Linked DNA regions of Nothobranchius furzeri. The protein of the gene in region 1 purifies or fractionates together with the protein of each later gene. This does not show direct contact. Links are inferred from orthologs where the notes say so. Each region holds a gene or a part of one and is shown on either strand. Other genes may lie near its edges. The genes, in order: slc22a15 and vapal.

Evidence for each region.
Region 2: the proteins of slc22a15 (region 1) and vapal purify together in Homo sapiens (co-immunoprecipitation; 3 studies listed by BioGRID and IntAct, with this or other methods). This does not show direct contact. The link is inferred for Nothobranchius furzeri from reciprocal best matches to the Homo sapiens genes SLC22A15 and VAPA.

Annotation. Positions count from the first base shown.
Region 1 is NC_091752.1:45,756,119-45,760,589, forward strand, and holds the start of slc22a15 (solute carrier family 22 member 15), read left to right. Parts: upstream 1-1,461; 5' UTR 1,462-1,693; coding exon 1,694-1,816; intron 1,817-4,471. Other genes in the region: CD48 antigen, read left to right, coding at 1-493. UniProt on the Homo sapiens protein: Organic zwitterion/cation transporter with apparent specificity for amino acids and their derivatives. Has low affinity for its substrates and may regulate their flux across the plasma membrane at high substrate concentrations.
Region 2 is NC_091751.1:42,874,952-42,878,772, reverse strand, and holds part of vapal (VAMP (vesicle-associated membrane protein)-associated protein A, like), read right to left. Parts: intron 2,286-3,821; coding exon 2,133-2,285; intron 1-2,132. UniProt on the Homo sapiens protein: Endoplasmic reticulum (ER)-anchored protein that mediates the formation of contact sites between the ER and endosomes via interaction with FFAT motif-containing proteins such as STARD3 or WDR44.

The DNA.
Region 1 (4,471 bases):
CACGGTGGAGATCAACGGTAAGGACCAGAGTGTTGGCTTTAACGTTGTAGAGGTCCTGCCTGTACCTAAACCCGAGGCCATCGTGAGACCTCTAACGTGCAGCGACTCTTCTATTGAATGTAAACTGAGCTGCGAGCCGACGGGACCTCTTGTCAACGTCGAGCCTGTTGAGTACTTCTGGATCCTGGGAGGGAAACAACAGCCGGGAAAGAACTTCAGCATCACCAACGACGAGAAAACCAAAGCAATCAAGACGTTTTCCTGCATCATCAAGAATAAGATCAGCCAGGAGCAGAGTGAGCCGCTGGAAAACCCCTTCAACAAAAAGCCACCCGGCCTTAATGGAGGTGTGGTGGCTGGGATCATCGTAGGTGTGTTTGTTTTTGTCTGTGCGACTCTTGGAGTCGCATTTAGGAAAAAAATCAAACCATATTTACAGTGTTTTAAAGACGACCATCATTCCGTCCCCGGTGAAGAGGGTGGAAACAAATAGCAATGATCAAGATCAGTAACACCAGGACAGGGACCCAGAGGATCTCTATTCCTCCAGGTCCTGCTTGAATGACTTGTGACTGGGGGAAGAGCTTTAAAACATATGCAGCAACTAATAACTGAATATGACCACTTTAAATGTCCAGGTAGTGTCTTCTCAGAACCTTTCAGGTCTCTTAGCGACATGATTCGTGATGAAATGGGTGTTTGTTTAATTACTGATCTACCTTCTTAAGTTATGAATCTAGTTAAATGGACGTGAAACCTGAACCATCTGTGCTGTTGCTGTCTGAGTGAACATAACCATGAAGCACTGCAGCATGGAGACAGTGCTGGTGAGGAGATGCTGGACCATGACTGTGTGTTTGCTGGAGCTTCTAGAAGTCATCTCTGGAGGACTTGCATGGGGATGAAGCATGGCTGCTTTGCTGCAACATGAAAACCTTTCAAATGTATAACATCCAACTGTGTGCCATTTTTTTTTTTTGTAAATTTTCTAATCTGCTGTGATGTGTAAATGCACATTAATATTTTGCACTGGTTTGTTTTCCTTTGCTCCCAGATCTCGATCCCTAACTCTTGCATCAATAGTTTTGCTTCTTTGTGATTTTTTTTTTACCTGAAAACTTGACCGATGGACTAAAGAAATCAGGTCTTTGCTGTATTGTTTTTGTTTTTCCCACCATAGTGTTTCGGTTCAGTTATACTTTAAAATGATCCCATTTTTGAAGACAAACTTCAGGCGACACTGGGACATAGAACCTTAATGACTTTGTAGCCTCCTGAAATAATATTCATATCCACGTACTCAAAGATAGTCTTTTAGGGAAATCACCAGTAAAATACGGCTTATGGTTTCTGCATAGCTCTGAGCTACTTGTCCAAAAACAATGTTATTAATTCAGATCCTGATTTTACTGAGGATCTTGTGTTCACCTCACATAGAAAGGTGTGCCATTGGCTAAATAGTTTCTGTTTAATGCGATGTTTCAGAGAACGTCTTAAAGCACTCAATCACAAACCCCGATTCTATTTATTAGTGATGTTTTAACTGTTACTCTTGTGGAAAGTGCATTCAGAATAAATCAACCATTGCTTCACGAACTCTGGCCTGTCACTGACTGAATCCGCCGGGGGAAAACAAAGCGACGAAAGCGGAAGTAAAAGATGGTCACTCCTCTCTTGGTGCTAGCTGGGGGCGATGCTAACTCACATTAGCATCCGCTCGCACTCTGCTTGGATGGACATTGAAGCAGCTTTCCAGGTCGTCGGAGAGTTTGGGCCTTATCAAAAACGAGCGGTGACCGTGCTCGTCCTGGCGCAGGTTGGTGGCTCCACAAATAAACCATTTATCATAAGTAAATGATGGAAGCAGCGGGAAGCATCAGTTAGCTGCTGCAGTGTTGAGTGGCTTTCGAATGACTGACGGAAGTGTAAAAAAATCTACAGTTCTGTTTTTTACCTAAAACATCTAAACATACCGAACTATTTTCTATGACTTCCCTAAATGTGATAAAGCTGACACTAGCTGTCGTGATGTGCCAGAATGATGATGACGTCAGGTAAAAGCCCAGGTAAAGTTGTGAAATGCAGGCAGATTTAAACGTATACAAAAGAGCCAATAAAGCCGACAAAGCCTCGCACCTTGTGACTCAACTCATTAGTCAGAATTATTTTCACACACGACAATACTGCCCAGCTTTGAGTGGACCTTGTACATTTTCTGATGCTTTGTTCAGTTCGGGACAGTGGCGTGTCCAGATATTAAAATGGGGTGGCCCAGGTGAGGCACAACTTTGTGCATGGGTGGCACCAATGGTTATGCTTTTTTTGTTTTACCCCCAAGCCTTTCGTGGACAATGAAAAGCCTATTTAACGGTAAATTAGTGTGGTGGCACCTGGGGTGGCCAATTAGATTCCAAGGGTGGCATGTGCTACCCCAGGCCACTCCCTGGACATGCCCCTGGTTCGGGATTGTCTTGGTAAACCCTAAAAGAGCCGTGAAGTAGAGACACTTCTACTGGTGTAGCAGGATAAACGCTCTTGTATTAAATGTGGTCGTTTTAACAGACTGGTGCAGGACTGGTCCATGTTTATAAAGCACGATCTGATGCGCAACTCCGATATGAAAGCTGCTGAAGTCACATTTCCAGTCTGGGTTATGTGGTTTGCTCATTTCCTTATCTTTAATTAATGCTATTATTTTGTTAAGTCTTACATTTTGTTAGTAAGACAATAGAAGTTATAATTGGAAAGAGCAATTGTTAAAAAGAATTTACGTTGCCTTAAAATAACCGAAATTCATTTTGTTGTAAAAAATCAGAATTGTGAACTTAAAATTGGGAATCGAATTGGGAATTTTTTGCTAAAATGTAAAAATAAAATGATTGGAATGACATTGACATGATGATTGTAAAAAAAGTAATTGAAGAACCACTGACACATATCTGTAATTTATCTTTTTATGCAGGCTCATTTCCAAAAAAACATGAAAATAGCTAAAGTAAAACCCCTTTATAAAACAGGCGACATACATCATTTTACTAACTAGACATGTCTAGAGCTGAGGAAAATAATCAAATAATCGATGCATCGGGATGTGGACATAAACGATTCTGCATCGTAGAAGAGTACGCCATAATCGATTATAGTGGAATGTAGTTTTGTTTTTTTAATGGCACCGCATCCAAATCTGTCAGAGTGAGCCTCCTCCACATTTACCTCCGCCTTAATGTGGTATTGCAGGGCTGAGCGCTAGAGTTGTCACCCGAGACCGAACCGGAACCGAATCAGCCCGACCGGTTCTGTTGGATTTGGGCTGTGAATTATGTTAATTGAGCGGGTTGTCATGCGGCGCGCTCCGCTCGCTTGATCAGCGACAGAGAGAGAGAGAGAGAGAGAGGATCGGAGGACGCTCCTCCAAACCGATGCTCCAAACACGCGTTATTATTTTCATAATTTAATTATTATTTCTCCTGGAAGCGCTCAGTCAGACTGCTTGTTGTAATGTAGGGAGATCCGGTCTTGGGGAGGGGGCGGGGTCAGTGACGGCGGCTGCAGCGTAATCATCTTTTATTTAGGGACATGGAGAAGTTGGAGAGAGAAATAGAAGTTCTTGTTCCACTTTATTCTTTTGTTTCATGATGATAAACTGATGTTAAATTCAGCTTAAAGAGAAACTGGGAGGAAGCTTTGGTTCATTTTAGGTTACAGGAGACTTGTCTCCTATCTGCTCCTCCAGAAACAGCATGGACATGAGGGTTACATGGTGAGGGTCCCACAGGACAGGTTAGTGGAAAGGTTTGTAGTTAGCTGGTTAGTGAAGGAGATCCATCAGCTGGGTAATTTAATCCTAATCCAGCCCACAGCCTTCTGCTGGTGTTATTATCAGAAAGAATAAAACACACATCTTAAATATTATTGGAGTGTATAATTTGTTTTATGTTTTATTATCTTCTGCATCAAACAGAACTTGATTCATTCTCCAGCATTTCAGAAACGAACTACTGGGTTCAAATAAAATAACAAACTAAGTCAAACATTTCATTTGGTGTTATTTCTGACACCCTTCGACTGTGGCATAAATATCTGACTCTAGAGCTTCTCAGAGACATTAAACACTCATATATGAACCCATTATGTATTTTATTATTACATTATGTGTCCTGTAAGTTTTCAGTACTTTTTTAGATTTTGTGAGTTTTTGCAAAGCGTGTTTTTCTCAGCCTGAGGCGTGGTGTTGAACGAGGAAACAGGTGTTTTACTTTGTTAAATCTTCTTAAATGTTTAAATGTTTTGTCCTAACCTGTTGTGAATGGAGCGATTTTGAGGGATGGCAGGTTGTGTCAGTTACGTTTTAGATAAAAAAAAAGCAATTATCTGACATCTTCTATTTATCGATGAAAACAAATCAACATGAAATAATCGTGATGCATCGGGATATCGAATCGAATTGAATCGTTGACCCAATAATCGTAAT
Region 2 (3,821 bases), on another chromosome or scaffold:
CCCAGGAGTTTGTAAATAGAGGTGGAATCTGCCTGTTTTTCCTCTAGTTCGCCCTCTTCTCCGCCTTCACTAACATCTCAGCCAAATACCGAAGACCCAGAACAAAGTCCATCCGCTACTAGGTTCCTTTCCTGTTTTGCCCGCCTTCGTTTCCCGGCAACGGACAACAACTTCCGGGGTCAAATGCGCTGCTCCGTCTCTATAGCAGATGTAGAAAATCACCGGGAGCGTTTCTCCCTTCATAAAGGAGCTTCTTTCAGACATTAGGAGAGCTGTTTTGGTGGTAGCAGTCTCTCCTCCGAGCTGGTCTGTTTGCTGCTGGGTGTTTTTGGTTTATTTAAACTTGGCAACTTAACGTTGGTAAAGCTACTGTTAGCATTTTCGCTAACAGCTTCTTGCGTTTGGATAAGCTGTTACGTTTTGGTTTAGAGTTCATCTTTTTACAATCCAATCCAATCCAATTTTATTTATAAAGCGCATTCACAAGGCATTACAACCAAACAAGGCGCTGTACACTAGAAATGTTGGTTAATTAAACAAGCGATATTTAAACATGTTGAACACATATAAAAAATAATAATTTGTGGTACAAATTAATAAATGTCTAAATGTAATAAAATCTCCCTTTTGTTACATTTAGAGTGTTTTGGGTTTTCGGTTTAGTTTAAAATATCACCTTGAGGTTGGTTTAACCGCCCAGTTTAGAGTTTGGAACTTTGGAGATTCTTATTTTGGTCCAAAACCCTGTAATCTTTGCACAGTGGGACATCCCTAGTTATCTGTACTTTTGTTTTAATTCCCCACAGGCAGAATTAGTTTTATTACTCCCAACCTGTGGATGGAAAGATTTGGTTTTTTGTAGTTGTAAATAAACCCGATCATCATTTTAACTTTTAAATCCCATATTATTGTCCCTTCCTTTTTGCACACGAGCCAAACTCCCCAGGAAGAGTCGTAACACCACTCGCCTCACGCACATAAGTGACCAAGACGAAGCAGCATGGAGACACTCCGTCTCCAACCACCTCTCAGGCAGCAGCCTGTACTCCCAAGTTCTACACGTCACCAGAACATAACCAACCAACACAATAAAAGCAGTGTTATACAAAATGGGAGGCCTGTAGTGTTTATTCTCTTACAGTAACAATTAATCAATTTTTTGGAGGAATTTATTAGAGATTTTTTGGTTTTTATTAACTGTGCAATAGAAAAATAATCATTAGATTAATTGTATAAATAGTCATTAGAATAGTCGACTATTCGATAAAATAATCGTCAGAATAATCGTTTTAAAAATAATCGTTTACCCCCAGCCCTAATTTCTATATATTCTGCGGACACTGTGCGACTTTTTCGTTTGTAGCGCTCAGTTTCAGCTCACACCGTACGTCTGCTAGCAACACGCCGGACTTAAAATGTGCTAAAAATAGCAGTTTTTACACAACACGTCGGACTTTTTACTGTGTTGTTATTGATATTTGTTGTCCCTCGGGGTTGCTGCAGGGACACGGGTATTTATGAGTGGCGGAGGAAAACAAGAAAGTAAATAAATGTTTTGTGATCTGTGTAATTGGACATAACCACGGCAAACATGCTTTCTCGACAATCCTTGTTATTGTGTGAGAAAAAAAGTGTAGAAATTAAAACGGACGTGTGTTAATAGGGAAACAGCTGGCGAGCTGTTTGCGCAAGCGCCGTGAGCGGTTCTGGTTCTGTTTGGGCCACAGCCGCTCGCAGCGCTACTTCAACAGTTATTCTCCTAGTTTTTGTCTGGCTTGCAGGCTAGCAGATTCTCGCATGAGGGGGAAATCGGCTCAGGTTGTTTACTTATGTTTTGCACAGACATTTGTTTACTGTGAAGTAAAGTTGAAGTGCTGAAGTTTTGCAAACTAATTTTGAATAAAACTTGAAGAATAACTGGCAATTGCGTGCTCATTTTAAGAGGTCTTTCATAATTATAACATGTTATTTGATATAATGGTTTACAAACACAAAAGGGTAATTTATTAGAGTACTCGATTAATCGAAAAAAAGATTTGATAGAGTACTCGATTACAAAAATATTCGATAGCTGCAGCCCTAGTTTTATGCGATCAAGATAACAAAAGCTAAAACAGCTGTAAAAAGCTTACCAGAGATGTTGACGGTTGCACCAGCATCGATGACTCCACTATTTGGCCGTACGCAGTACCTTCGTGGAGCTGTTGTCTTGACTTTGAAACACACTCTTCTCTCAGAGGGATTCTTCAATTTGAGGTTACTGGTAACTACATCTGTAAAAGGACCTGGTGCACAGAAAACAGCGAACACAAGGGCATCACTGTTTAAGCACACTGTGGAAGACCGAGTAAAAAACATCCCTGAAAACTAAAACAATCTGTTACATAAATCACTAAAGAATAAACAATTTTCTTTGATTTGTGTCACATGTAAAAGGCGAACCAAATGAATGACCGGTGTATTGTATATTACTAAAGTCAAAACCGTAGAAACTCAACATCTGTGGATGCACCACCCTCCTAGGAAAAACAGCAGGTCTGTGATGTTTGTAGCTGAGATTTAATGAAGACTTTAGGCTTTGAAAAGATCAGTAGAGAAACAGTAAAGGGCAATTCAATTTGAACTGTGATTGAAAACCTAATTGAATGGTGGGTTGGAAAGCAACTTCTCAGGACAACTCTAACCTCTATAGCTAACAAAAAAAGCTAAGCTCTGCCTAGATTAAACAATTACATTAAAAGCTATGACATAAAGTTAAAGAATATTACTATGTAAAATTTGAGATGCACAAAAACCTTTAAGACTTATCCCTGCATCAGTTTCCAGAAGCAAACCAACAAACCACCTGAATTGATTATGCTTACTTCCAGACAGATAATTTCATATAGAGGTCCCATGATGATATCAAGGCCTTTCCAAGTCAGGTCATACATCAGGAGAGCGGTGGTTGCATAACAGGTATCCACCTTGTGACGGGCCTGGCTTCAAATTAAGTCCTTAGCTGTGGTCAGCACTAGCAGCTTTGATCGTCTATGCCATGTCAAAAACAAAACCTGCTGCCAAGTCAGACGCACCTTCAACTTCAAGTAAACAATTAGCCTGGGAGTCAGAACATGTCTCATGACGCTGGAATTCTTTAAAATGGTTCAAAAGTTTATTTTTTATAGCAAAATAATGACAGAATTTCTGTAAACTGACCAGCCTCTAGAATAAGAATATTAAAACATTAAGATCAGGCACATTTATTAATAACTAATCCCAGTTTTTGCAATCCTCATAAACTTCTACTTGTTTACTAAAAAAAAATCAGGCAGGGTGATAAATTATTTCTAATCCAATTTTATATCAAATGAAAACAGTAATATTAGATTAAATGAAACCATTATTCACTTTGTAGTAAACCCAGAGCATCGTCCTCCTGTGCAACGGTGCATAGAAAGATAAATAGGCCAGGTTTATTTATGCAAACCTTGCAGATCTTTTAATCCAGTGTGAACATAAAGAGAAAATATGATTTGTCTAGAGCTGTGGACATCAACTGGTGGCCCGCGGGCCACACCTGGCCCATCAGACCTTTCCGCCCAGCTTCCCCATCATTACTGAATCAGGAAGAGAAAATGGATGTTCTACTTTTTTCTGTAATAAATTAAACAAACTGAAAAACAGCCTTTAATCAGAAATCACTATAAACTCAGGTCTTATTCAACATTTTTTATTTATTCTGCAGCAGTTTTTAGAATCTCTGTTTTTGCGCTTTCCTCTAAAATAGTGTATAATTGCGATTTCTTGACAAAAAAACACTCAACGGAAGAAAGCAACAT